Linked DNA regions of Lytechinus pictus. The main gene of each other region encodes a partner of the protein of the gene in region 3 in a complex. Links are inferred from orthologs where the notes say so. Each region holds a gene or a part of one and is shown on either strand. Other genes may lie near its edges. The genes, in order: histone deacetylase 3-like, deoxynucleotidyltransferase terminal-interacting protein 1-like and corepressor interacting with RBPJ 1-like.

Region 1 (10,384 bases), on a different chromosome or scaffold from region 3:
GAAAGCAAGACAGAAACGAAGAAAGAAAGAAGAAAGAAAGAAAAGAAAAAGAATAAAAGAAAGGAAGAAAAAAAGAAAGGATAGATGTGAAGGAAGGAAATAAAGAAAGAACTAAAGAAGGAAAGGAAGGAAGGAATAAAGAAGGAATAAAGAAGGAACAAAAATAAAGAAAGAAGGAAATGAAAAAAAAAAGAAATGAAGGAAAGAAATGAAGCAATACAGAAAGAAAGAACAAATCTAGTAAGTAGTAAAGGAAAGAAAGAAGAAGCAATAAAAAAGAAAGGAAAAAAGGAGAGATGGAAAGGACAAAAGAAAGAATGAGAGGAAGGAAGGATTGAAAGGAATTAAGGAAGGAATAAAGGAAAGGTAAAATGATAGATAGAAGTAAATAAATAAAGGAAGGGAAGGAAAGAAAGAAGCAAGCAATATAAAAAAAGAAAAGGTAAAAGAATAGATGAAGGAAGAAAAAAAGAAAGACTGAGAGACAAAGAAAGGAAGGAATGAAAGAATAAAGGAGAGAAAGGAAGCAAGCAGTAAAAAAAGGTAGGTGAAAGGATAGATTTAACAAAGGGAAAAAGGAAAGAACAAGACAGATAGAAGAAGAATGAATGTAAGAAAGAGAGAAAGGGCTGGAAGAAGGAAGAAATAAAAAACAAGAAAGGGTAAATAAATGATGGATGGAAGGAAGAAAGAAACAAAGAGAGTAACAAAGAATGAAGGAGAGAAAAGGGTAAAAATAAGGAAGGAAAGAAAGGAATGAGAGAAGAGATGAATATAGGATGGATGGACTCAAGAATTAAAGAAAAAAAAATATCAAAAAGAAAGAAAGGAAGGAAGAAAGGAAGAAAGAAAGAACGAAAGAGAGAAAGGAAGGGAGGGAGGGAGGGAGGGAGGGAGGGAGGGAGGGAGGGAGGGAGGGAGGGAGGGAGGGAGGGAGGGAGGGAGGGAGGGAGGGAGGGAGGGAGGGAGGGAGGGAGGGAGGGAGGGAGGGAGGGAGGGAGGGAGGGAGGGAGGGAGGGAGGGAGGGAGGGAGGGAGGGAGGGAGGGAGGGAGGGAGGGAGGGAGGGAGGGAGGGAGGGAGGGAGGGAGGGAGGGAGGGAGGGAGGGAGGGAGGGAGGGAGGGAGGGAGGGAGGGAGGGAGGGAGGGAGGGAGGGAGGGAGGGAGGGAGGGAGGGAGGGAGGGAGGGAGGGAGGGAGGGAGGGAGGGAGGGAGGGAGGGAGGGAGGAAGGAAGGAAGGAAGGAAGGAAGGAAGGAAGGAAGAAAGAAAGAAAGAAAGAAAGAAAGAAAGAAAGAAAGAAAGAAAGAAAGAAAGAAAGAAAGAAAGAAAGAAAGAAAGAAAGAAAAAGAAAGAAAGAAAGAAAGAGAAAAAAGAAATAGAGAAAAATATTTTTTTAAAGGAAAGAAAGAATGAAAGAACAAATTAAAGAAAAAAGGAAATTAAAAAAAGAAAGACAGTAACAAAAAAATGAAAGAAGAGAGGGAAGAAACAAAGAAAGATTGAAAAGAAAGAAGGAAAGAAAGATAGGAAGAAAACAGAGGAAGAGAGCTAAAACTATCATCAAATAATTTATCAGTTTCTTTTTGGCTCAATTAAAATAGCTACGAAAGAAAGTCAGAAACCAAGTGTATCAACACACACATAAATGCATATGTGGGGCTATTATGTATTCAGACGCTATCACCCGAAACCCGATCTGTTTGAACCAAAACAGAAGTGAAAATTTCTCCTTTTACTGCTTACAAATGACAGAGTTACTCCAATTTTTAGGAAATATGGACATTATAAGAGCCTTTCATGAGTATGAACCGTGAATTTTGACAGTTCTTGTGAGATATTTCTGCCAGAGTTTAGCCAAGCTTCGTTCGCGCAGCCAGTAGAGAATTTACCACGTGGGTTGTGTAGCTGGCTACATGTACACTGTATGCTTCTCTAGTGTGTGTATTCTGTGTGTGAATGACAGAATTTACCGGGGGGAAATGGTTTGCAGTGAAATTTGACAATTTCTGGAAAAGTTATTGGCCCAACAATGGATTTTATTACTGGTCATGTCGGACCCTTAAATCTTGCTATTTTTGGAAAAATTACTGGCCCGACAATGATATTTTTTACTGGTCATGTCGGACCAGTAAATCTTCCTATTTCTGAAAATCTACTGGTCCGACAGCGATTTTTACCGGTCTGGGACCGTCGGACCGCCGCTAGTGTCGAGCCCTGAGTACACCTTACAAAAGGGATGGAGAGAAGACTTGACTAGGCACAACATCAGCTGTTCAAAAAAATCCTTGGTCTCCTTAGAACAGCAGCAGATGAAGTCATCTTTCTTCTCACTGGGCTCCTCCCTCTTAGTTCTCAAGTTGACCTTGAGAAGCTCCTCTTGATTGGACAAGCATTGTCATTTTTTAAAGCATTTTTAATTTTTTTTTTATTTCTCCTCGTACACAGACTGCTCACAAAGGTGCAGCCGCCATTAGGGGGTTTGCAATATAACCCCCCCCCCCCAGCGGGGATCTATTATTTTTTAGCAAATAAAAAACATTTAAACAAAAAGTACTGCACCTATAGCAAGATTATTATTCCGGTTTGGCCTGAAATGCACCAAAACGGAAAAAATAAACTTATAAGGGAAAAAACCAGTGACTTACTTCGGCTGTTGTCGCGCAACTCCCACTTAAATCCGAACTTAATACATAAACATATGGGCATTGAGTCCCTGTATAGATCAAGTTATAACTTTGAAGTTTCTAGCTTTGTGATGGTTATATTTAAAAACACAGAGCCACAAAAAATGACAAAGCAACCATCCTCCCATAATTTCTGAAGTACACCTTAGATTTAACATTATACCATATTCTATTCCTCCTATTAGATTAGAATTCTAAAGTAAATGAGAGGAAAAGAAAGAAAAGAAAAGAACAATCTTCTTCTTCTGCCTTTTCTTCTTCCAAGTTCCAGTCTGATACAGTCCGCCACTGGCGTATTATTGAACCTTGGAATGGATTGAGTTGGAAACTAACTTTAGTACCGTACTAGTAGTCTCTAACTTTGTTGTATGGTGGTGTGACCTTAATTCATGCATTACCTAATTTTGTGCACGGTAGAATCCCAATATCGAATCAAAATCTTGAAAAACTGATATCACCAACACTAAACAGATGCAAAATTACTTGGTATGGTACCGTAATTTTCTTGAAGGTAAGGTCTCAATTTGTGAAAATATTGGCAAAACATCTGCAAATTTTGTTACCATTTGCTTCCGCTCCGAGAAAATCCAAACTTCTCGACAAGCTTCCAGAAATCGCCAGTTTGCAAGCAGAGGTATCCAAACAAGTATAAAAAGTAAAATGATATACTTATAGTTATACCAACCGAATTTATAGCATTTTAACCTCCATCTAATACTATTACCTTTGTCTGCTTGATTTATTTTCGAAAGCTTTGCAAAACGATCGTGCGCAAATTAAGGTCACACTTTTTATGACACTTTGTTAGCCGAGCGCACACTACTAGTCGATCGTCATGGAATTTGAGATTGCGATACCGGCGAAACCCTGGCCTTGGCTTGGCCTACTTTATAATTCTGTCAAGCTAATTTGACTTTGGGATCTTGCCTTCCGTTTGGTATGTATGATTTTGATTAATTTTTATGTGAACTGTGTGTGAGAAAATTTGATTGAAAATCAACTTCATGATAATTTTTAAAATGTCCGCAAATTATGGTCGGTCACCCCATCATAATTTAACTTTATTTCTTAAACAATATAGGGCCTAGTCTGATTTCATTGAGATAGAACAAATGTTAAGTCTAACTCTAACTAAGTGAGACCACATGGCTTGCCTCCCATTAGAATAAAAGTACCCTGTTCAATTGTTGCGCAATTGCGCCTCTGCTCAAGTGCACGTGCATGATCAATATGTACCATCACGTAACATCAGATCTGCACCCCCGACGTTCCGGCAGCAAACTCCTGTCGCTCCCGCTGTGAACACTTACCCCGGGCACGACGTCAATGCTTTTGTACTTGACACTCTCGAGGAGACGTCGGAATTCAACTATAACTGGAACACACGTTATTTCTTGACTTGTTTTGCTATTTTCGATGCATTTTTCCGTTGACAATAGATCACTTGTTGTACCCTCAGCTGACTTAGTAATTGCTGGTCTGTTTTTACGTCGTTTAAATGTGAAGCTTGCAGTGCTTAGTCGCACCGAAATTGATCCCAAGGGCGCTGCCATCTTTATTTTCTAAACAGGCTCTACATGTAATATTCATTTATTATTTAAAAGTCTGGTTTGTAAAACCTAAAAAAAGGTGATATAATTGTAAAATTTTACTTAATCTTATTTGTATATTTACATGCAGATGGTAAGTCAGCAAATTAATTTTCAAAGTTTCATTAATTTTCCCAATGAATTCATACCAAGAACACAATTTAGTTGGAATGATTGAACTTCAATTGAGACTCCTATCGACTTATATTGTTCCACGATGTCGAGTAAAACAATAGCTTATTTCTACGATGCAGATGTCGGGAATTTTCACTATGGTTAGTCAAAGGTGGATGGATATGTATGATCTGTATCAGGAGCTTTCATGCAGTTAAAAAGAAGTTTTATTTATCATAACATTGTTTGGAGCTGGAGGCGGCCGCGGCGAAGTCATCCCCCATCTCGCGCACTCCATTCAATCACGAAACAAAGAACTGGCAGTGGCAACAGGCAATGAATGATTTTTGGGGGAGTGAACGTGTTGGAATGGATGGAAGGCCAGCCCAGGTCATGGCCGGGGGGTCACGGCAGCTGTTGCCAACATTTTTATTAAAAAGTCATAAATTGAGTCAAATGATAGAGCAAATGAGCCTGCGCTATATTCAATATTGGTCTGGGTGTGGGGGGGGGGGGTGGGTCAGGGTGGAGGCAAGTTGCGAACAAATTAGACAGCTGGCAGCCGTCTGTTTCGAGGAGTTTTTTAACATTTTTTTTTTTTTTTAATTTCTCCTCATACACAGACGGCTCGCTAGCGTGCAGCCACCATTAGGGGACTTGCAATGCAAAATCCCCCCGTCGGGGCTCTTCAATTTTTGTCTTTAATGAGTAAAAATTTTGAAAATTCACGCGACCAAAATGCAAATTGATATTCCCTCTTGGCATCAATTGCCAAAAAACGGAAAAAAATCAAGTTAAAAGGAACAAAAATAGTGACTTACCTCGGCTGTCGCGCAAATTCACTTCCCCGTTTTATCCGATCTTAAGTACATAAACATATGGCCATTGAGTCCCCTGTACAGATCGCGCTAGAACTTCAGTCTCTGTATTTGGTGAGTGAAGCCAACGGAGTTCAGCTGAACAACCAACATAACAGAGACCGAAGCTTTTGGTCTACGAACAAATAAGTCTTAAGCCTAAGCTCAGTCACTTACACACATGTGAGGTTAGTATGCTGTACTAACCTTGCACAATGTATGAGTTTTGACGATGGACATGTAATTTGTCCTCGTCTGTCACACGAATTTGGGTTGATAAACATGCCAAAATTTTCCCCAAAACAACACAAGTTTTAAAAGCAATAAGAACTAATATTCTTACTTTTCACCCAGTTTCACTTCTTTTCTACGCTTCTATCGGTCTCAAAATTGGTGATTTACATATTAATTCACTGCCGATTCCAAAGCATCGCAAACGCAAATTGCGCGGAAATCGAAGCTCAATTAATGAATATTCAACATGATAACATCGAGATCGTTTCGCATATGCATCAGATCAGGACGGGTTATGTGAGAATACTTCTTAGTTCGGGCTATCAATCTTGCAGCAGAGTTCTGTATTACTTCAGCCATGTTACAAAGCAAACTATTACAAAAATGCAAGTGACATGTCACGAGAGCCTGAACAAGTTTCTTTGTTGTTTTAGAGTCCAAACACAAACATATCTTTCCAAGTTTACTTTCCAGAGACAAATATGTCCAATGCCATATGCTGATCAAACAGAACACCCATATTTCTGGCCAAGACACTAGGAACAATAGAAACATCTTAATCAGGGGAAGTTGTAATCTTCTATGAAATCGAGATGCTATTTGTAAAACCTCTGTTTTCTCGTCATTTAGTTTGAGACCAGTTAGAATTGACCATTGCTTTATCTCTTTTACTTACTTTATCTCTTTTACTTTTACTTCTCAGGTCCTGGTCATCCCATGAAACCTCACAGATTAGCACTCACACACAATCTAGTACTCAACTATGGGCTCTACAAGAAAATGCAGGTAAGATCTCCCAACCAACTCATTTTAATGCCCTTGAAAATGCAAAATGATCTCTTATCAGTTGTAACTTAACCTTGTCATAGGGAGGATTTTAATGTTGTTGAGTTTTAATAGAATCAGAAATCTGTTTGACTTAGTCAAAATGTGTTAATAATGTTTTGATCTTGTCTGAAGAATTGATTCAGTGTAGGTGACGATTCAACTTACAGAAGGTTGACTATCACAGACTTAACTGCATTTTTTTGTTTGTTTCTGTTCTAGATTTACAGGCCATACAGGGCCACAGCTCACGACATGTGCAGATTCCATTCAGATGACTACATCGACTTTCTACAAAGAGTGACACCTCAGAACATCCAGAACTTCACCAAGAGTTTAAGTCATTTCAACGTCGGTGACGACTGTCCAGTGTTTCCAGGTCTCTTTGACTTCTGTTCAATGTACACTGGGGCATCGTTAGAAGCAGCAACCAAACTGAACAACAATGTGAGAATTTAAACATATTTTAGTATATAAATGAATACATGTTAGTATAGGAAAGTGATTTTTTTTTTTTGGGGGGGGGGATGGTTTTGCCTTTTGGTGTCCCATAAGAGAACAATATGTAATGTATATACAGTTTATGAAGCTTGTCAGCTAAGATAACTGTTTATTCTATGACAGTCCTGATTGTAACAGTTAGAGACCAATGCTTTCCAGCCAATCAAAATCAAGGATTTCACGGAAACTGTAGGCCTATAGAGATAGGATGTTGACAACTCTCTGACTTCTCCACCAGTGTACTTCTCATTTTTATTGAGACTATTATGTCAGACTGTACTATATATTTATCTCATAATTTTCAGGAATGATACCAATATTAAAAATGTTGTGATTTTGAGCAACATGTTTTGAAATAGATTTTGGAAGAATCATGCTGGGGCCAATTTGTGAAATCTCTATGTTATCTTTTCATCCCTCTTCATGTACAATATCTTTTTTTATATCACTGATTTAATTTTTATGTTTTTATAGTGGGAATAAATCTGAATTGTATTGAATGGAATTGAACTGTAAATTGTTAGAAAATTTGTTTCCATTGCAGCTATGTGACATTGCAGTAAACTGGGCTGGTGGGCTTCATCATGCAAAGAAGTTTGAGGCTTCCGGGTTCTGCTATGTCAATGATATTGTCATTGCTATTCTAGAAATTCTCAAGTAAGCCATGTTTCTATTTGATTTACGATCTTGAAAATAATCTTGTTCATAGGTTTTGTATCTTTGCTTAACATTTTTGAAGTATTGTTATCTTAGTAATATTGTCAGATTCAGAATTTCCTATATAATTAAAGTTATACATTTAGCTTAAGACATAGCAGTGCTAGCATGCCCTTTTCCCCAATCTGCTGTATAACAGGTTGTACAGTGTATCTTATTATTTTCTCAGCTTTATATGGTGAATCATGAAGAAAATTGCCTTTTTGTTAATACCGTTTTATATTTGCTGATATGATAAAGATGAACAAACAATGTAATTTCATTTAAGCTAGATGAACTACATCATAATTCTTTCAAATTAAATCTTTTCTGTCATTTTTCAATTCCTTTTTCACATAACTTAATCATCATTGTGCACATTATTTCATGAGATTCCCCATTCTTGTTCCCTTCTCTGCTAGATACCATCCTAGAGTGCTGTACATTGATATAGACATCCATCATGGAGATGGTGTTCAGGAAGCATTCTACCTCACAGACAGGGTCATGACAGTATCATTCCATAAATATGGCAATCACTTCTTTCCAGGCACAGGTAATGGGCCTGTTTCATAAAGAGTTACAACTTTGGTAACTTTGCCATTATGGCAACTACAGTGGTAACAGGGCTCAGTAGCCAATCACAATCAAGGCTTTTATGTGAGTTACAATAATAGTACAGTCACCATAGTTGTAAGTATTTGTGAAACAGGGCTAATGTGTAGGTAAAAGGCGTGTAATAATGAGTATACTTATTATTGTAAATCGATAATCAATAAATGGGGTATATTCATTTTTTATTTCATTCAATTCCCAACTCTGAATTTTCTTTCCCATCAATTGATATGTATGATGTAGATTCCATCAAGTGGTGTTAGACCAAGTGGATATTGAACAAAATGGGTAGAGCCTAACTGGAAATAAGACAAAATGCTAAATGGGAATAATGATAATTAGACCAAATGGTTAGTAGACAAACTGGTTGTAGTAAAAAAAACTGGTTGTAGGTTAAGTAGGATTAGACCATCTGGGGTGAGACCAAACGCAAAGTAGCGCAGCGGTTTTGTAGACCAATCAGCAGTTTACTGTTTATTTCTTTTCTTCCAGGTGACATGTATGAGGTAGGCTTAGAGAACGGGCGTTACTACTCCATCAACGTGCCTCTCAAGGATGGCATAGACGATCTCATGTACTCCGGTCTCTTTAAACCAGTTATACAGAGTGTCATGGAGTTCTATAGACCTACGTGTATAGTCTTGCAGGCAAGTCTCTCAAATTCACTTTCAAAGTGTAGATCTTTTTATTCTTATGCATAAAAAACCCTCAATAAATACACATCAAGCTATGCTGCCAACTGTGAAAAAAAAATCATTATTTGTTATGAAACTGTGACAGGAATGAAAATAGAAATAATAAAAGGAAAAAAGAGGGGTGAAAGAATTACTTGCGAAGGAATATGCATGATATTGTATCCAAACATTTACACATTAAAAGATAAATACCAGTTGTGGTAATGATCTCAAAATGAGTTCGAAGAGAATCCAATAAAATGATCACCCAAGTCTATGTATGTATAGATAAAAATATGTGATAAATGGCTCTGGAAAAAAAGTGCAATTGTTGAGAAATGAGCAAAATATTCCCAGAATTCCATAAAATGTTGGGTATTTTTCCAAGCAATATTAATACACTGTCCCACCTACTCCCTTTTGTGTTAGTTATCATTAGAATTATCGGTTTTCAGCTAAGATTTCATGATTTCACAAAGATAAGTTGATTTCAATGTAACAGATCTAGATCTATGATAATATGGTGGTAATTTATCTTGATTTTAAAGGCTTTCTCATGAAATAATTGTTTGCTGCAAGTACTTTATTTTACCTTTAAACAATGTAGAATCTAGTATACATGAATTTAGTAATAGAAGTGACTAGATTGTAGAGGAAAGTACTTGTGCATTTTTGTTGCATGAGGATGGTTAGGGTAAGGGTTAGAAATCAAAGAAATTGTATAAAAAAATTAAAACAAAAAATGTCTGCAAAAAAATGCAAATTCTGATGAAGAAATACCAATTTTGGAGGTACAGAATGAATATTGGCTATTTTGAAGGATGGCAGCTCTTTATATGTGTATTCATTTACATTCCATCTGACAAAGAAGTTAAGAATCTAAAGGCCACTGCACATCTTATGACCCGACTGGTCTACGACTGGCCTGTGACTGAGTGAGGGGAGATGTGACGTCACAGCTCTTGTCAGCTTGAGAGTCGCAGACCAGTCAGAGACAAGTCGCAAGGAAAATTGTAAGGATTTGACATGTCGAATCCTTATGACTGAATCGCAAGCTCAATCCAACTTCCAGCCAATTAGACAGCAGAGTTGCACGACGCGTATATGATATACATCGCGCATATGCTGTAGTAATTAAGCGCCATTTTCTCAGTTGCTATGGCAAAAAGCAAAAAGCGCATGCGTGAGTCACAGACAGCATGGTATTTGGATCGCAAGGTGTGCGGTGTTGAGGCCTATGACTACCTTGCGATTCATCTCTACTAACTCATTCGCAAGCCAGTCGTAGACCAGTTGGGTCGTAAGGTGTGCGGTGGCCTTAAAGCACCAACTGACTCCCACTTGTTAATCTCATTTCTAAGATGAATCTTTGTTTTAATCTCGACAGTGTGGAGCAGACTCTTTAGGCTGTGACAGATTAGGGTGCTTCAGTCTCAGTATCAAAGGCCATGGGGAATGTGTAGAGTACGTCAAACAATTTAATGTACCCCTACTAGTGATGGGTGGGGGCGGTTACACAGTCAGGAATGTAGCAAGGTGTTGGTGAGTATTGATGTCTATCTTTTGAGTAAGCAGGTTCCTAATTATTATTATTTA
Region 2 (9,886 bases), on a different chromosome or scaffold from region 3:
TTTTCATTTTCATGTCGGGTTTCTCCCCATTCCCCAAATTATAGCCAAGCTTCACATTTCCCAACTTCTGAAACATAATCACACTTCTAAACAAAGATTCAAGACAAGATTTAATCACAGTAACAGTAACTAATCACTTACATTCATCACCTGTAAGTTTTACTGCAAAACACGTCGATTCACAACCGACCACATACTCGGCAGGCGCACATCATAAACCTTTCTGGCACGATCGGATACCGCCTTTTAAATAATTGTTGTTTACGTGATGGTGGATATCAAAATTTACAGTGGATATGCCATTTAAACTGAAATAAAGGAAATTGTGTGTTTTGTAATTTATATATTAAATATTAATTCATGAAAGAGATTTTCAATTGACAATTATCATTCTTTCATAATTCAATAATTCTACCAGAATAAAATATGAAGTTTTGATCCTGATATAAGTTTCTACGAACAAGTTATCAAAATATAAACATACGTGAACAATTTAAAATTTGCAATAACACAAATATAATTGACATCTAGATAATGGACAGTTTCATTCTAATTAATTATTATTAATGACAGTTCAAGAAAGAAAAGGGATGAATCATTATTTCAGATTTGATAAATAAGTCAAAAGAAACAAAATAAAACGGCCAATCAACATGTATTTGACGTTTACATGATTTCAAAATTATCTTCATTCTTCATTCATATCGAAAGTTGATGTGAGAAAAAAGTACTGAAAATGAATATGTCGTTACGCATTTCAATTTAAATTAATTACAAAAAACAACATGACACACGCAGCCAACATTCATTCGACGTTTTCATAGTTTAAAAAATAATCATCTTCATTTGTAACCAAAGTTGCTGTGAGAAAAAGTAGAATTCATTTTGCATTTGATGAATAAATTACAAGAAACAACATGACACACGCAATCAACATTCATTCGACGTTTTCAACTTTTCATAGTTTCAAAAATAATCATCTTCATTTGTAACCAAAGTTGCTGTGAGAAAAAGTAGAATTCATTTTGCATTTGATGAATAAATTACAAGAAACGACATGACACACGCAATCAACATTCATTCGACGTTTTCAACTTTTCATAGTTTCAAAAATAATCATCTTCATTGGTAACCAAAGTTGCTGTGAGAAAAAGTAGAATTCATTTTGCATTTGATGAATAAATTACAAGAAACAACATGACACACCCGAGTAACACGATCAACATTTATTTGACGCTTAAATGGTTTCAAATTATTTTCATTCTTCACTCGCATTGAAAGTCGAGGTAAGAAAATATGCGATGAGTTACGCATTTGAAATCATCAAAACATAAGACGGGAAAGAAAAACGATCTTAAGCGACACCATAGTAAAATCGCCATCGTTGTCAGAACGGAACTTTACTCCATTCACGGACAGTCAATCTCTAAAACTGATATAAGGTCATGTTTCAAAACTGATAAAAACGATGGTTTTCGGCGGGAATATATTACAGAAGAAGATTAAATGATATTGGTGATATATTGGCGACTAAAACTTATAAATTTTGTTGGTGAGTCTTACTAAATGTAATGAGTTTTTGTGACAGGAAAGTGGTGAATCAGTGTCCACGGATACCCGAACCCGAAAAATGAAAACCGTTATCCGTCCACGCGGGCGGAAACCGTTCGGATATCCGTTTGGTGGCAGCATCAACCCCAACACCAAACTTGAAATCACCCAATGTCTATTCAAACAAGTTTACTCCACTCTAGGTGATGAAGAGCACTTAAAGCTGGTTGAACAACCAAAGTGAAGTAAGATTCCGAATGACATATGGAGTATTCAATCCATTCTTCTTCTCCCTTCTTTCATTTAAAACCAACAGAACTATTTTGTCATTATTCATTCTATTTTCAATTCAATAATTGTTCTTTTTATTATTCCCTTAATGAAATGAAAATACTGAGAGAATCAGAATTCCACTTGGTTCAGCTTAAATTAGCCAACTTACGGCCTCCAAGCTATTCCTGAAGACGGTGAGAACATGTTCTTCAGTCACGCTGTCCGCTCCATAGTTCTCTCTCATGTTTTCAACAGCCATGTAGAAATACTTTGAAAAAAATATAAAAAATGAAAATGTTGCTTAATCTAATCAGTATAGTCATAGATATACATAATACTTAGTGCATTTCTTTATAAAGGCATATTTGATATCATCCCACCAGACAACAAAGCCTGAAAGTGACTAAAATATGATCAGATTCCACTCAATTATAGTATTGTTAGAGCAAGGGATCACTTACAGGTACATTATCTATAGAGGCCTACATTAAACAAAAAGACAAAACTATACACTTGAAAGAAATACAAAATTTGTTCAGGGTTGTGTTTCACATTTAAGCAACATGACCTGTGACCTCTCCATAGGACAGGTTCTTTTAAGATACTTGAATGTTAAAGGTTGCCCCAAGACACAATATTTTGCCAATGAAATAAGAACAATCGTACCAACCTGAGCATAATACTGGAATATACAATGGATATCTTTATTAATTCGTTTCTGCAATGTCCCTCGTAAAATCTCCAAGGGCGTGATGGGATTGAACACCACGCCACTCCTGCATACAAAACAATGACAAATAAGATATGTAAATGTACATAAGATAAATCTGGTAATTTCCATACTACAAGTGGGATATTTTGGAGCAAATGTCTAATCAAAACAAACATTAAGAAAGTGTTAATCTTAAAACTCTTAATCTGAAAATGAATCCGTTGCTTCGTGGATTGAGGTAGTCCACAAATAAAGTCTATGGAAATTACAGGATTCAGTCAACAGCAAACATCTTACATTAGAGACCACATCTTTTATTTGTCTGTTTTCTCCTTAAATTGGCCACAGTTTTTAATTTTCTATTCATTTTCATACTTAAAAAAAAACAACCTAAATATGAATAATAGTGAAAATGAATTATAAAATCAGAATTTTCATGAAAAGCTACCACTTCAAAATATGTAATGATTAGCTCAAGTAAAATGACTTATATTCAGGATCAGCAATAATATAGCATTTTTGTCCAGTTCATATATCTCTTTCAAATAAAATTCCATATTCAAGTGTTACCATTCAAGATACAGAGATACAGCAAAGTATGCTATGAATAACACCTATAACCATGTTCTGCATGTAATCCATGCATTGTCGGACCATGACCCGTGAAGACAATGATTGGAGGCAGCACTGTTTTGTTTGTGAACAATGCTGTGCTCCTCCAATGCTTTGTCTCCTCCGGCTCACGGTCCGCCACTGAATCCATGTACTTATTGAAACACTTCTTATCTTGATGAGTTAATAAAGAGATGATGAGTACCATTCGACATTCAAGCCAACAATGTGTTATCATATATTTTTTAATATAAAAGAAAGAAAAACTTGAGATAAGGATAAAGTTACACAAGTGAGAATATCACACTTTCTTGAATTTTTGTTGTTCTACCATCACATGTTCCTACCTTGTCTTGAAGTTAACACCAGGTTGCCTGGTGAGCCGCTGATGTTTGTTGGTAGGAAAGGTCTTCAAAGACATGCAATATGGATTCTTCTGCAAAGAGTACAACAAGTTTGTAAAGAAAAACACACCCACAATTATTAATAACATTAAGCACATACTTGTGTAATGCTGTACATGTAGCTATAATTGAGAAAAATATACTCATCCATTTAATTAATAGTATATCATACCATTTCATTTCTCCATAACATGGATAAATCGCTTCTCCACCTTTAAAAAATACACTGTACCAACTTGAAAGTATCCAAAATCTTTATTGGAAATTATAATCATGGCATACATTCCACATCACCAACGATGAAAAAAATACCTTTATTGACCAACTCTCTCCCTTTTATCTGATAATGTCTAACACTCTAAATGTATTAACTTGGTAATATCAGATTTGAGAAATGAATCATGACCCCTATCTTCTATGACTAATGTTATGATTTGGGAAGGGGGGTGTCAAGATAATTAAAAAATTGTGTTATTTTTTTTTAAGGGTATAATAGAGTTAAACAATCAAAACCTTTCTTTACATATTCTCCTTTCTTTCTTTCTCTCCCTCTTCTCCTCCCCCCAATTTTCTATTTTTGCCCCGACTACTTTGAAATATGATAGAGGGTGGGGTGGTCACCCATTCGCTCGAATGCACTAGCCCTGGGAGAGACACAGACAGACATAGAATAGATATTTAAAGTTATGAATGGGATGCTTACTATCTTGTTACATAGGAGGGCCTTCTTCTTGGTGAGTCTTTCATTCGTCCAGTGCGGTGACAGGCTTTCAACAGAACTCATCCTGTCAAATTCTTTATTGTATTTGTACCTGAAAGGAAATCATAACAAAATTTGTCAGCATTGTAGTGTGATACACTGTCTAGGATTGATGATTTTTTCCTGTGAAAATGGAAAGTGCTTAAAGGGGAATCCAGCCTTGCCCATAAAATGTTGTGTTGGGAAGGAGAAAAATAAATTAAACAGAATGGTGAAAGTTTGAAAGAAATCGAACAAGCAATAAGAAAGTTATAGCTGCTTTAAAATTGAGATCAATAATACTATGTAAATTTCAAATTGGCAACTGGGTAAGTAAATTATGACAAAGGGCAAGGACAACTTTCCCATAGGCCATGTACTTTATAATCAGGGATTTGTGGTTTTCTCCTAAGTACCCCTTCCCCTGGGGCAGTAATCTAAATATAATCCAGGTAGTATATTGTTTTATTTCCTCATGAAAGAAAAATATAATTTGAAATAAAACTTTTGGGGAAAATGACATTTAAGCCATAATATGTATTGGAGTACATGGAAGAGTAGTCCTTGCCTTACATCACTATGACATCCCCTATGCGGCCAATTTGAAGTCTCCATGGGTATAGTGATTAACAATATTTACAACTTTTAAAAATTCATAACTTTCTTGTTGTTTGTCGAATATTGTTCAAACTTTCACCTATCAACTTGTCTGATTTTTCTTTTCCTTATAAAAACAAGTTTTTATTTGGGTTGGATTCCCCTTTAAATTTCCCCCGCTCCTGTTCAGTCTTGGTTCAATTCAATGTTCTTACTTGTCTTGTCTCCAACTTGACTTTAAACGTGGATCTAAATCCTACGTCTAAGGAATCCAAGTATTGGTCCATGAAAGGATTCAAGTTGTATGGCATCTGAACTTGATAACTCCAGCAATGAAACTTGTCACAATGCAAAACTTTCAATCATGCATTGAAATTTCATGACATTTTTTAAGTCATTCTATGAGAAGACACAGACAAAACCCCAGAAGTTTGCTGCACAAAATTCAAAATTTGAGGGGCAGGCATCTCCCCCTTAGGACCAACTGTCAGCCATCCATGTAAAGAACTCTATGACAATTGAAAAGTATAAAAGCACCAATTATTGAACAAAGTGCCCGAGCATAATCCTTATAGACTATATGATATGTTGACCAGTGCGCTCAGGTACCAATTTAGTAGCCCTTGTTTGTACATTTTCTAGTTCAACAATCAATCACAAATTTACAATTAATTACAAAAGAAATGATTGATTTAACAATAGACTTGCGATTGGTCGCGTCCACAAATACAAAATTAACAAGTTAGGCTTAACGTTAGTCTTAACGTTAGTCTTAGAATTAGATTCAAGATCTAACGACAACGTTAATAGTAGGGTGTCTGAAGCCACACTGAAGTGTCAGCATAAAACAGGCTGATTTAGGGGGAAAATGTGATCTGAATTTATTATTAACTTGTGTTTGGCATGTATGGAAAGAGAAGATTCAAGGGCTTCTTTTGACAGTAAGGACAAGTTTATATGATCATTTTAAATAAGGATTTAGAGATAAATTGCAAACCCTCATTTGTGTGTGTTGAGATTGTCATTTCCCCATGCGTTTTCTATGGGATAATGAAATGTCTGTTTTGCACAATTTTTTTCACTTCGTCGCAATTTTTCATTGTGATCTGGTTTCCAAATCTTTATAAAAATCATACCATCAGAAAGAGCATAAAAAAATCTTATTAGACTCTTTATGGACAAGTTTTTGGCATTAATGATGAATTTATAACAGCTCTCGGAAGCTAAAAATTTTGAATTGTGTTTGTCCATTTCTTAACTACACAGTCTATGTATGCCTATGGCAGAGAAATGCTGAAAATTGACCTAATTTCATTCTTCTTTTTTGCAGCCAATAATTGGATTTTTTTTCAAAAATGTTACATTTCTGTCAGTCTGAAGGTTATTTCTCTTCAAATTCACAAAGAAAATGTGATATTTTCTTGAAATAAGAAAAATAATTTTTTTCTCCATACACCCTATTAAAAGCCTCGTTGTCATTGACGTTAGGCCTAGTCTTGAGGACTCCATGATGATGTCTTTTAAAAAAATTTGACATATACTTCTTCATCATTGGAGTCTTGAATCCCCTCCCATATATATGCATAAGAGAGACATGTAAACAAAGATGGATCTCCCTAGGAAATCCATCTCTTTTATTAAAAATCACGTAAATGAACGGGTTTTTATTATTCTCCACACCTTCCTACGCCTAATGCATGAGAAGGTTTAAAAAAATATTCAATTAAAATGTGAAAAAATAAAGGTTTCTTACCAGACCGATGTCATGTAGATCCCTCGATCCAAATGTACACAACGCAAAGACAATAGGGCAGGGGGCTACATAACTTTTTGAAGCACTTGCCCAGTCGGGCAAGTAAATTTTCAAATAGTTGGGAAATACTTGCCCGAATATAGATTTCACTTGCCCGAAAAAATCCTTCAAAACAAAGTTTTATTGCTTCAAAACAAGTTAGGTTTTATGGTTTTACATACCATACCATTGACGGCTTTAAAAATACATTTTTTAACATGACTACTGATGTACCTGACCTTGTAGTTGTATTTTTTTTATTTTTTTATCTTGAACATCATGACAAAATATATGGTCAATATGCTCTTAATTAATTTCCTAATCTCATATATTTTCCATATATTTTGGAGGGGACTAGGACACACAATAAAAAAAGGGGAAATCACTGAAAATAACCATAGGAAAAAAAAGAAATTAAGAGAGGGGGAGAGAATAAAAGAAAAAAAATAAGAAGAAAGACAGAGAGGAAGAAATAAAGGAAGAATTATAGAAAAAAAGAAATAAAGAGAGAGAGAGAATGGCTGCGGGGAAGAGAAAGATGGAAAGAAAGAAAGAAGGGAAAGAAGGATAGAAAGAAAGAAAAAATAGAAAAACAAGTGGAATGCCTCTGGCCGTCTCACCTGCATCACGCGATTCAATATAGCAGCAGTGCTGATTTTGAAAACTACTATAACTCGCACAAGATGTTCAGTGATACTTGGTTACTCTTATTTCCACGTTTTATGAACTAGACCAATACACTTATAGAGATATGATGGCAATTCAACAAATACCCCCAACGTGGCCAAAGTTCTTTGACCTTACATGACCTTTGACCTTGATCATGTGACCTGAAACTCGCACAGGATGTTCAGTGATACTTGATTACTATCATGTCCAAGTTTTATGAACTAGACCAACACACTTTCAAATTTATGGCTGTAATTCAACAAATACCCCAATTTGGCCAAAGTTCATTGACCCTAAATGACATTTGACCTTGATCATGTGACCTGAAACTTGCACAGGATGTTCAGTAATACTTTATTACTATTATGTCCAAGTTTCATGAATCAGATCCATAAACTTTCAAAGCTATGATGGTAATTCAACAGATACCCCCAATTCGGCCAAAGTTCATTGACCCTAAATGACCTTTGACCTTGGTCATGTGATGTGAAACTCAAGCAGGATGTTCAGTGATACTTGATTAACCTTATGTATACGTTTCATGAACTAGGTCCATATATTTTCTAAGTTATGATGACATTTCTAAAACTTAACCTTAGGTTAAGATTTTGATGTTGATTCCCCCAACATGGTCTAAGTTCATTGACCCTAAATGACCTTTGACCTTGGTCATGTGACATGAAACTCAGGCAGGATGTTCAGTAATACTTGATTAACCTTATGGCCAAGTTTCATAAACTAGGTCCATATACTTTCTAAGTTATGCTGTCATTTCAAAAACTTAACCTCAGGTTAAGATTTGGTGTTGACGCCGCCGTCGCCGCCGCCGTCGGAAAAGCGGCGCCTATAGTCTCACTCTGCTATGCAGGTGAGACAAAAAATGAGGGGAAGAGAAAGGAAGGAAAGAAAGGAACAAATAAAAAAGAAAAAGAAAGAAAAATGTTAAAGAGAAAGATAGGAAGAAAGAAAAGAGAAAAAGAAAAGGTAAAGGATTGATGGAAGGAAGGAAAAGAAAGAAAACGAGAGAAAGGAAAGAAGGAAGAAAGAAAAGGTATAATGATAGATGGAAGGAAGGAAAAAAGAAAAAAAGAAAGATAGAACGAAAGACAGAAAGAAATGAAGGAAGGAATGAACAAAAGAGATGAAGGAAGGCAGAAAGAAAAAATAAGGAAGAAAAGAAAGGATGGATGGGAAAAAAAGAAAGATCAAAAGAACGAAAGAAAAAAAAAATCTGAAAGAAAGAAGGAAAGAAAAAGAAAGGAAGAAAGAAGGAAATAAAAAAGAAAGAAAGAAAATGAAGAGAAAAAAATGAGGGGAAGAGAAAGGAAGGAACGAATAAAAAAAAAGTGAAAAGAAAGAAAGGAAGAGACAAAAGGAAAATGTAAAGGATTGATGGAAGGAAGGAAAAGGGAAAGAAAGAAAACGAGAGAAGGGAAAGAAGGAAGAAAGAAAAGGTATAATGATAGATGGAAGGAAGGAAAAAAAGAAATAAAAGATAGAACAAAAGACAGAAAGAAATGAAGGAAGGAATGAAGGAAAGAGATGAAGGAAGGCAAAAAGAAAAAATAAGAAAAGAAAGGATGGATGGAAAAAAGAAAGATCAAAAGAACAAAAGACAGAAATAAAGAAAATCAGAAAGAAAGAAAGGAAGGAAAGAGAAAGAAAGAATGAAAGACAAAAAGAAAGGAAGGAATGAAGGAAAGAAATAAAGAAAGAAAAGAAAGAATGAAAGGGATGAAGAAAGTAAGGAAGAAAAGGAAAAGAATGGATGGACGGAAGGAAGGAAGACAGTAAGAAAGAATGAAAGGAAGAGGAAAAAGAAGGATTAAAGAAAGAGGTAAACAAAGGTTGGATGGAAGGAAGAAAGAAAAAAAAGATAGAAAGAAAAGAATGCCAAAAAAGAAAGACAGCTATAGTAACAGAAAAAAAATGAACAAAAGAAGGAAGGAAATTTAAAGGTCAAGTCCACCTCAGAAAAATGTTGATTTGAATCAATAGAGAAAAATCAGACTAGCACAATGCTAAAAATTTCATCAAAATCGGATGTAAAATAAGAAAGTTATGACATTTCAAAGTTTCGCTTATTTTTAACAAAATAGTTATATGAACGAGCCAGTAACATCCAAATTAGAGAGTCGATGATGTCACTCACTCACTATTTCTTTTGTTTTTTATTGTTTGAATTATACAATATTTCAATTTTTACCAATTTGACGATTAGGACCTCATTGCCTGAACCACAAAGTGTTCAGGGAGGAATGAAACTTCATTTCATATGACAATGACGAGAAAATCAAAATATTTCATATTTCATAATAAAATACAAAAGAAATAGTGAGTGAGTGATGTCATCGGTTCCCTCAATTGCATACCGACCGGGATGCGCATATAACTGTTTTGTGAAATGAAGCAAAACTTTAAAATGTCATAACTTTCTTATTTTACATCCGATTTTGATGAAATTTTCAGTGTTATGCTCGTTGAATTTTTCTCTTTTTATTCAAATCAAGTTTTTGTTGGGGTGGACTTGTCCTTTA
Region 3 (10,031 bases):
TAAAAAGAAAAGATGGTGACTAAAAATAAAAGACTCATTTTGTCCGTGTAATATTTGGCAAGCCTCCCCCCCCCCCCAAGTTTAACATCTGAGCATGATCGGTTAAGGGTTAGCATTGAGGTGAAATTTTTTTTTAAAGATATTTCTATCAAAATTGCTTTTAAGATAATCTTTGATATCTCAGGTTTCAAAGAACTCAGTTTCATGAAGATTGATAAATCCGAAAGTACTGGAATAGTCCATTTTATTTGTAGGGGTGCTATTACCTCTCATCACGGACGGACATTTTTACTCAAATTAAATTCTCTCTAGTTTTATTGTTTTTAAAGTTATTCTAATTTGGTTTGGATGTTCTTGCATTCTGAACATTAATCTATTATCAAACATAAATTAGTAGAAAAAAAATATTGGGAAGTAATTTTTTTTGGTAGGTGTGAACATTTCCATTTTGAAATTTCCGTCCGTGATGAAAAAAAATATAAAAAGTTTTTTTATTTTTTATCAGAATAGAAATAAAAAATAAAAAGGTGTAGAGGTATCTCACTAAACACTGTACATCATTTTATTTGAACATAGCTGAAATCCATGCATTTTATCCATATCATAAACTCAATCAAAAATGATCACGGACGGACATTAATTTCATCACGGACGGACAATGTAAATTCACTCAAATTCAATTCACTCTATTTTTATTGTTTTCAAAGCTACTCCAATTTGGTTTGGATTTTCTTGTACTCTAAACATTAATCTATCATCAAACATAAATTAGTAGAAAAAATATGGGAAGTAAATTTTTCTGGTAGATGTTAACATTCCATTTTGAAATTTCCATCCGTGATGAAATTAATGGCTGTCCGTGATCATTTTTATTGAGTTTATGATATGGATAATATGTATGGATTCAGCTTTTTATTCTTTATCAGAATAGAAACAAAAATAAAAGTGTGCAGAAGCATCTCACTAGACACTGTACATCATTTCATTTGAATATAGCTAAAATCCATACATTTTATCCATATCATAAATCAATCAAAATAATCGCAGACGGACATTAATTTCATCACGGACAGACAATGAGCAAATACTGAGCAGATTATGAATTTAATTTTAGTTCCAATTTGCAGTGAAAAATGGTACTGAGAATTATTCAGAACTCAAATGGATGGAAACCTACAACTCTTCACAATTTTTTGTGAAATCTTTCTTTGGCTGTTATTGGGACTTAATTGTTGTCAGGAAATTTTTTTAAAACATAATTGGAATGCAGATAGAGTTGGAAGCTACATGTATGCCAAAAAGCAGGAAATGAAATAGAGCAAGAATAAGTCAAAAGCTGTATATTTCATCAATTGAAGCTTGCAGAAAGTGATGGAAAAGAAGAAAGTAGAATGCATATTCTGATAAGCAGAAAAAAAAAAAAAAATTCCATGTGCAAACCTATGGATTCACAATGCTTCTAACAGAACATGACATCACGTCCTTGAGGCTTGTGAAAAGTACAACAATTCCTTTTTTAAAGTCCATTTTGGAGCTAATTTTGAGCAAATTGCTGATCTGGTAATCTGAAAATGCATACAATTCATTAAAAAAATTTGCACTGCAGTGTTTTTAAGTTTAATTGGTATCTGATTTCAATTTTGGATTTGGTCAGTGCCTAAATACATGAGGCTGTTGATATGAAGGTGTGTCTCCACTTTAATATGGACAAAAGATGAATTTGAAGAGAGCCTGGACAAGTGTTGTGGTCATACTTGATCCACCAAACAAGCATAATGATCAGCAACCTGTGAATCTTTTGGATTTACTTAATGGACATTAAAAAAAAATATGTGCTCTTCGAAAATTAATGCCTAAAAATGTATGAACATTTATCATCATGATAAGTATCAACATGATCATTGATCCACTGGATGTTGATTTGGTACCAACTACAGTATTCTCTAAATTGAAAAGAAGACAATGTGCATTAGGATATTTGATTTTGAAAAGAACTGTCTTTAAAAGCAATCATATGGCTAGATTATTTTGTGTGTCTAGCATAGAAATCATGTTGCTACAACTTAAATCAAGTTGTAGCAACTTGATTGAAGTTGTAGCAACTTGATTGTGCAACTAATATTGTTTAATCATATAAAAAAATGTACAAAGCATCAATACATTAGCATTTGTTCCCCCAAACAAGTAATAAGAACTTCTTACAAGGTACTTCCAATGTATTTTATATGTGTCCGTCCGTGATGTCCGTCCGAGATGTCCGTCCGAGATGGAAAATATTTGCAATTCTCTCAGAAGTTTGATATTGGTTAAGAATTCAATATGCTGAACATAGAAGCTAACATACCCGAGTGTAAGTTGCATTAACAATTATTGGTCAATGTTAAGCTATTTAGATAGAAACAATAAAAATGTTCAAAAATTCTGAAAACCACATTTCTATCATGTCCGTCCGTGATATGGCACATTTAGTGGCTACCTATGTTTGTAGGTAACCATGGCAACAAACTTTTTTCATCATTCAGCATACTTTGTCCTACCCTTCACTATAAAACACAAAGGAACCATGTTCATCTTATTCCTAATTTGTTACAAGCCTTCAAAGTTTTCAAAATCTATCAAATGTCCGTCCGTGATGAACCGATCACGCTCATATCGGAGGCGCGATGGCTCAGTCGGTAGAGCAGGGGTTTCGGATTCCGGTGACCCGGGTTCGATTCCCAAGTGGTGCGCTAGTGCCCTCAAGGCTTATCCTCATTACCAGGTCCCTCGGAGAGGACCTTAAGCCGTTGGTCCCCTGGTTGCTTGCTCACAGGCATTCGTGCTTTTTTAGCAGTCAGGTAAAAAATCTCGATATAACATAACATTAAAAAAAAGTGAAGGTCATTTTGTCCTGCGTGAAATTTTAAAAGTAATAAAAAGATGGTCACTAAAATTGAAGTTCATTTTGTTTGTGAAATATTTGGCAAGCCCCCCTCCCAAAAAAAGGTTTTAACTAAAAATGATTGAAGGCCATTTTGTTCCTCTTAAAATTTGTCAAGTATAAAAAAAAAATCACTAAAAAATGAAGGTCATTTGTCCCACGTAAAATTTGACAAGCCCCCCCCCCCTAAAAAAAAATGAAAGGTAGCTGATAATGATTGAAGATCATTTTTTCTTGCATAACATTTTACAAAAAAAAGTGTGTCACTATTTGGCGAGCCCCCTACCCTCCAAAAAAAAGGTTTAATTAATAATGATCGAAGGTCATTTTGTCTCTCGTAAAATTTGACAAATAAAAAAAAAGTTGTCACTAAAAAAAGAAGGTCATCTTGTCGCGCGTTATATTTGGCAAGCCCCCACCCCCCTAAAAAAGTTTTTCATTAAATATAGAAAGTCATATGTTCAAAGTAAAATAAATTTGGGAAGCAAAAAAGAAAAGGACAAAAAAGAGCAAAGAATATGAACAAAATATCCCCATTACAAATATTGCTGTGATTTTCATAAGGAGGTGGGGGGGGGACTTAACTTTGTACGAACGACATTTTTTTTTTACATCCAAAATATTGACTATGAATCTCAAAAGGTGGAACGGGCCAGAAATGCTCAACCCCCCCCCCCCCCCCCCGATCTGCCATTGATTCCAATCGATAATGACTTTTCCCTGCAATACTGATGCTTGAAATCAAGATACTGAAGATTGATATATTGTAATATAAATTATGAACGTCTGACAAAAAGATAACCAACCGATCACCTGACCGATCAGCTGACCAGTACGTGAATCACATCGTAGTTGATCAGTCCCCACAGCGTTTGGAACGCTCACCAAGAATTCAAGAAAAAAGACTGAAAATGTAAGTTTAACCTCAATCCATTAAATTTCAAATGTCGTAGAAGTTTCCTTATCATGTTTAAAACTAATTAATACCTAAATTGTTACCATCCACTATGTATTAAGGCGTACATTTGCCAAAGTTCTTGGGTGCAAATAGAAACGGCAATGTCTAACCGGTTTTATCACTGATGTCGCCTATGAGGTCCATACATGTAATGTTTGGACCTCATTGGTACTAGGAGTGATCTCCAGTCTGTCCAGATCTCGATGTCGTTCGAATCCTCAGACATCACTTCGCGGATCGCTTGGATTCGCCGTGCGCCGTAATGTTGATATGGACTGAAGTTAGCAACCGAATCATGTGAACATGTGGCGAACAAACTGCCAGCATGCTGCAGGCGAATCTTTTGGTCGCATAACTTCAGTCCATATCAACATTACGGCGCACGGCGAATCCAAGCGATCCGCGAAGTGATGTCTGAGGATTCGGACAACGACATCGAGATCAAAGCTGAAATACAGCCGTTCCCGATCACGATATTTGGAAAAGAGATGGGTATATTGACCTCGAAATGTGACTGAGAGACATTTGGGAACAAGTATTGGTGATGAGGTATGCTGGTAATCGGCCGGTGCGAAACTGCATTAGCGCCAAAGTTTCAAACTCAAACTATTAATTAGATATAGGCCCTACTTTTTATTTCATTTTTTTCTTCAATTTTTGAATGTGCTCTATTTGGCCTTTTTGTCTTTTAATTTTCACCATCATGAACAGTTTGACTTTCTTTTAAAAAAAAAATTAAAAAATGCCAGATAATGAATGATGCATGTGCAGCTATATATGCAGGCCCTGAACAATTCACCAAAATGTAATTATTTGTTCACTTCAGTTTAGTCTACATACTACATGTATATAGTCTAACAAAAGTTATGCCTAACGACAAACGTCAGTCAGACTCACTACCTACATGTAGGCCTACTCACTAGTCTAGAATATTAACCTCGTACTAGTGTGTGTGGTCTAGATCTAGATTTAACGTTTACTTATTTAAGCAAGTTAACTTACATGTAGCTTACCTTTCACAAAATTTAGTTTCAGATGAATGATAATAATGTTTTATGTTTCTGATCTTTGTCCAAAGTATTTTCAAATTCAACCATTTTACACGTTCATCAAGCCAACTTGGTAATTAAATGTTTTTTGGTTTTTTTTGGTGTTGAACAGGTATGGATGGCAGAACAGAGAACTGATGCAGAAAAGAAAAAGCAAGAAGCCTTGAGATCTGAATATGAAAGAGAACAAGATACTTATAACAATAGGTAATATTGTTTGTCATGGTGTAATTGTTCCACTTTTGCAGGGCTCCTTTAGCAGACATTCAAACCGCTCCCTTTTTAGAGTATTTGTTCTTCTTTTTTTGCTATGAATACACCAATACTTTTTTGGTATGATTTGTTACTTTTTTTTTTCAATTTCCGATCATGGAGTATGTAATATACACAGCGTGTGACACTAGCACCGATCCGACAGTCCCAGACCTGTAAAAATCACTGTCGGGCCAGTAACTTGTTGCATGAAAAGAATAAGTGAATTCTTGCCTACATGAGCACATGTTTAAAAGGGTGAATTTTCAATTTTTCCAAGTAGAATCATTTCACATTTTTTTCACCGATCTCACTACAACAGGCTGGCAATTATTACGTTGAGACAAAACTTTAAAAAATCCTCTTTTTTTCTTCTAAGAATACTTTTTTTTGTTGTAGAAGGTTGGCAGGTCTGCATTAGGCAAATTCAGAAAAGCAGTTTCTGATCTCACCTTTTGAATAACACTAACAGGAGGATGAGGGTATTTTTTTTCTCTCCAAAACCACATTTCTCCCCCCCCCCCCCCCACCCCCAGATAACAGATGTAGTGTCTTTGGGCAAGACTTTCATTCAACGACCTGAAATAAGCAGAAATAAATCAAACTTGTGTCTTGAAATATTGAAAAAAAAAAATTGGGGGGGGGGATGCAGCAGCAAAAACAATGTATTTGGGGATGGGAAACTGATACTTTCTTTTACTTTGCCTATTCATACTGAGGCTCTTTGTGGCATTGAATGACGATGCCCTTCTTAAACTTAAAAGTAAGGTTAAGTACTTGGAAGACATGAATGAAAAGTAATGCAGTATTTAAATGGAAAGTCCACCCATACATCAAGTTAGATTTCCCAGTTGATTTTCATATTTCATGACCATCTGTTATCAATCTACAATCCCACAAACTGAATTTCATGTTTCTATACCATTTACTTGTATCATCAATCATCGGTCCCACAATCTGATTTCCAAGGTTTTTTTACCATGTTTTATCAATCTACAGTCCCACAGGCAGTTTATAATCACTCGCGTCGCGTTCTGGTTCGTAATCACTCGCGTTTTGGATTTTTGGCGATTTTTTTTATTTCGGTGCGATTTTTTTTTAACGGTGTCTTCAATGAAACAGACATGCAGGGAAATTTGAGTTTCGTTTTAAGCCGGCAATTAAGTGCCTTAAAATAAAATGTACTCGACTACTGTTTTAAGTACCAAGAATAGATAACAAGCTTGATCCACCCCAGACAGCTGGCAGCAGTCTGTTTTGAGGAGTTTTTTTCAAACATTTTTAATTTTTTTTAAAATTTCTCTGTATTTGTTCTTTTAAATTTCTCTGTATTTCTCTGTATTAGTTTTTTTTTATTTCTCTGTATTTGTCCTTATTGTTCATCTCCCTTCTCACTTCTTCCTTTTCTCTTCTCAGTCTTCCCCTTATTTTATCTTCTCTTTCTCTTCTTCTACATCCTCTCCTCAATTTTCTCTTTTTAATTTTATTTTTACCCCCTTATGTCCTCCATCTTCTTTTTTCTTCTTCTACTTCTCCTCCTCCTTCTTGCTTTTCTTCTTCAGCACTTTTTTCCCCCCTGATTTTTTACGTTAGTGTAGAATAATTCACAAAGAAAGGAAGAAGCAAATAAATAGTGATATTATGAAATTGTAGCACCTCACTATGCTTTATAAAGAATACCACAGACTTCAGGAAAATCCTCCAAAGGCAAAGCTAAATCGAGAGTAGCCTTTCCTCCTTTTTCTTCTTTATTCCTTTTCTCCTTTCTTTCTCCTTTTTTCCTTGCTTCTTTCTTTCTGTCTGTCTTTTTTCTTTCTTTCTCTTTTCTCCCTCTTTCCCTTCCTTTCTCCCCCCTCTCTCTTTTTTTAGGGGGAGCCCCCCCCCCCCGCTTCCGCCGCCTATGGCTCTAAGATTTAAGATGTGGAATGTGATTATGTTAAAACAGTAGTCAAAATTTGCCTGTTATCTTAAAACAGTGGTCGAGAACGTTTTATTTAAGGCACTTACCAGCTTAAAATAAAACGAAACTCGAATTTCAATTTCATTTTATTTTTCCAGTACGTTTGTCCCATTGAAGACACCGTTAGAAAAAAAATCGCACCGAAAAAAAAAAAATCGCCAAAAATAAAAAACGCGTGTGATTACCAACCCGACGCGAGTGATTACGAACGCGAGTGAATATAATAAGCCGTCCCACAAACTGTTTTTAATGTATCTATCACTGTCTTGAATCTCTATACAGGCAGCTAATGGGTGATGTACGGGTGAAGCATGGCCTGAATTTCATGTACGAACCGCCCAAGGGCATGAAGCAAGAAGAGAAGGAGGACGGGGATCAGGAGTACAAGTTTGAATGGCAGCGTGGGGCTCCTAGAGAAGGCTACGCCAAGGACATGGAAGTCACCGACCAACCCTTTGGTATCGCTGTCCGCAACGTCAAGTGTATCAGATGCCACAAGTGGGGCCATGTCAACACTGATAGAGAGGTATGCGATTTTCGGTGATGTTGCATGAAGCCAATTGTAAATTTATGCATAATATAGGTTCATATTACCCATTTGATCTTTTTGACCTAGTAAATTGGGTGAATACGAGTTTGTCTCAAAAACAAATTGACTAAATCAGATGACAGAATTAATGACAAAAAAATGGTCTACTACATGTAAGAGACAAAATCTTGTATTTCTAAATTCACCACTTAGCATGTTTGATCCTGAAATGGTTGTAATATGTAAAAAAAATATATTCTCTCTTACTGTTGTTATACATTTGAGTTCAGGTATCAGCACACACATAAACACTATAGGAATTCCATTTGCTCCCATCAATAACAGAAGCGCCAAGCTTGTTAACATGGAGACATCTTAGTTTGACCATTGTATTGCATTTCTTTTAGACACTAAATCCATCAGAATTCAAGTAAGTCATGTCACACACTTGGCTCTTTATTCTTGGAAAGTAGTATGATACAATTTTCAGAGGATATACAAGTCATGTATTTACCATTACCAGTACCCTGCTATCCCTATGATACAACACATTTTTTTGATAAACTTCCCATTGCTTTCATCTACAGTGCCCAAAGTTTGACCAGACCAAGGATGATGAGATTGCTGGACCCAGCACCGATAAATCTGACCTGATGGAGGATATGAGAAGGGGTGGGCTGGCCCTGAAACAGAACGTCCTCGGAAGGAAAGTCAATGAAGATGCTAAAAATCAGGTGAGATGACTGTCTGTATGCAAGTAGATGTCACGCTCTCTGTTGTATGTTTTGTGTAATGTGCTCTGAAGGCATGCCAATTCCTGTAATCAGATATGGTGGCTCAGCGTTAGAGTGCCGGCCCCACCAACTTGAGGTTGTGAGTTAGATCCCTGACTGAGCTTCACCAAACACTTGAAAAATGAGACCCTCCACCATACTGTCAGGCGCTCAATGTATGAGAATGGAAAAGGTTAATGATTTATGCAAGGACCGCTTGGTAATACCTAGGTTGGCATCTTTCATGTGACCTCGCCCTGGAATCTAATGTACTAGTACATCTTTTCTTAGCATGTTGGAGAATCTTGGTGGATAGAAGGGAAGAAAATGGCATTTAAATGTCACAGCAAAATATCTGTCATTTTGGAAATCATTTGTTTTTGCTTTTTTAACATTTAATTTCTCCTACAATTTCATTTTACCTTTGTTTGATTGAAATGAATATTGCGAGAACCAGTAGTAAAAACAGAAACATGGTTTTCAGATATTGGATCAGATTTGTCTTTATTATTCTCCCGCTATCTAAGTTTGGAGGAGTATATATATCCTGGAGGAATCTGCGTACAGTTGAACATGTGGTTTGGCAGTCTGTCTGTCGCAAATCCTGCGGGTCAAACTACTTCCCCAGTTTCTCTAACTTACTCTTGAAACTTGGCACACACCTTTGTTTTAGTGTGAAGACAAATCTTTTTATTGCATTGCCATGGTAATGACATGTTATGCCAATTAATTATAGAAAACTCTGACTATATGAGTCTTTCAAATTGTTGTACCAGTATTTTATTTACAACTCGTTTGTTTTCACAATTTTAAGGTACCATTTTTTTAAATGTAAAGATTTTACCTTATCACTTATAAAACGAAGTTGATTGGACATTAATAATTCCAATACAAATCTAATTAATCGCCCCAAATTTTATTTGATATTGCAGAAATTTGTTGGCAGCAGTGACGATGAGGATGAAGATGTGGAACCAGAAGAAGCTTTCCTCAAATCTCTCTCCATGAAAGATAAAGTGAAACTACTTAAGTAAGTATGCTCATGCTTACATTGATCCAAAAAGAATTTGTATGTTTCAAAATTCATGTGCCACCAACATTCAATAAGTTTTCCTACATACATGTAGAATTTGCTGCAAATGAGAATGGAAACATAGAAATATTTAACTCGGCAAGGAACCCAAAGCATGGGGAAGAATAACGACATCTTTTTAAAAAAAGTACAGTGGTTCTGTAATAGGAGAGAAATACAATGACTCATGCAGAGTGTTGAGTACTCTGTTGTTGACCAATCTGTTGAGGTTAACTTGCAGGAAGGCACAATAATTATCACAAAGGATGTGAAATGTGCAAAAAAAAAATTTTTGACTTGTTTTGTATCCTTCGCTATTCTGATACTTTTTACATTTGTTAGAAATCGTACAGTGGAACTTGCCGCAGTTGAATCTGCCGGGGTTGATAAAGTGGCTCTAACTAAATATTCATCTCAAGAAATTGACTGAAATATTTCAGTAAACTTGAGACATTATACTAGGAATCCTAAGCCAGGCATGTGACCTGTAGATATAGGCTTTTATGAGCTGAGCAGAA

What was found.
Region 1: corepressor interacting with RBPJ 1-like (region 3) and histone deacetylase 3-like share a complex: the UniProt entries of both Homo sapiens proteins name them as parts of the notch corepressor complex. The link is inferred for Lytechinus pictus from reciprocal best matches to the Homo sapiens genes CIRSR and HDAC3.
Region 2: corepressor interacting with RBPJ 1-like (region 3) and deoxynucleotidyltransferase terminal-interacting protein 1-like share a complex: the UniProt entries of both Homo sapiens proteins name them as parts of the histone deacetylase complex. The link is inferred for Lytechinus pictus from reciprocal best matches to the Homo sapiens genes CIRSR and DNTTIP1.

The regions. Positions count from the first base shown.
Region 1 is NC_087255.1:32,555,226-32,565,609, reverse strand, and holds the start of histone deacetylase 3-like, read left to right. Parts: upstream 1-4,411; 5' UTR 4,412-4,489; coding exon 4,490-4,547; intron 4,548-6,180; coding exon 6,181-6,263; intron 6,264-6,524; coding exon 6,525-6,749; intron 6,750-7,347; coding exon 7,348-7,460; intron 7,461-7,921; coding exon 7,922-8,055; intron 8,056-8,606; coding exon 8,607-8,761; intron 8,762-10,175; coding exon 10,176-10,330; intron 10,331-10,384. Other genes in the region: uncharacterized protein LOC129271199, read right to left, coding at 3,994-4,236. UniProt on the Homo sapiens protein: Histone deacetylase that catalyzes the deacetylation of lysine residues on the N-terminal part of the core histones (H2A, H2B, H3 and H4), and some other non-histone substrates.
Region 2 is NC_087246.1:21,150,319-21,160,204, reverse strand, and holds the start of deoxynucleotidyltransferase terminal-interacting protein 1-like, read right to left. Parts: upstream 4,375-9,886; 5' UTR 4,337-4,374; coding exon 4,256-4,336; intron 3,585-4,255; coding exon 3,496-3,584; intron 2,601-3,495; coding exon 2,495-2,600; intron 2,093-2,494; coding exon 1,994-2,092; intron 1-1,993. UniProt on the Homo sapiens protein: Increases DNTT terminal deoxynucleotidyltransferase activity (in vitro). Also acts as a transcriptional regulator, binding to the consensus sequence 5'-GNTGCATG-3' following an AT-tract.
Region 3 is NC_087257.1:18,283,608-18,293,638, reverse strand, and holds the start of corepressor interacting with RBPJ 1-like, read left to right. Parts: upstream 1-5,012; 5' UTR 5,013-5,045; coding exon 5,046-5,134; intron 5,135-7,421; coding exon 7,422-7,665; intron 7,666-8,255; coding exon 8,256-8,402; intron 8,403-9,373; coding exon 9,374-9,471; intron 9,472-10,031. UniProt on the Homo sapiens protein: May modulate splice site selection during alternative splicing of pre-mRNAs. Regulates transcription and acts as corepressor for RBPJ. Recruits RBPJ to the Sin3-histone deacetylase complex (HDAC). Required for RBPJ-mediated repression of transcription.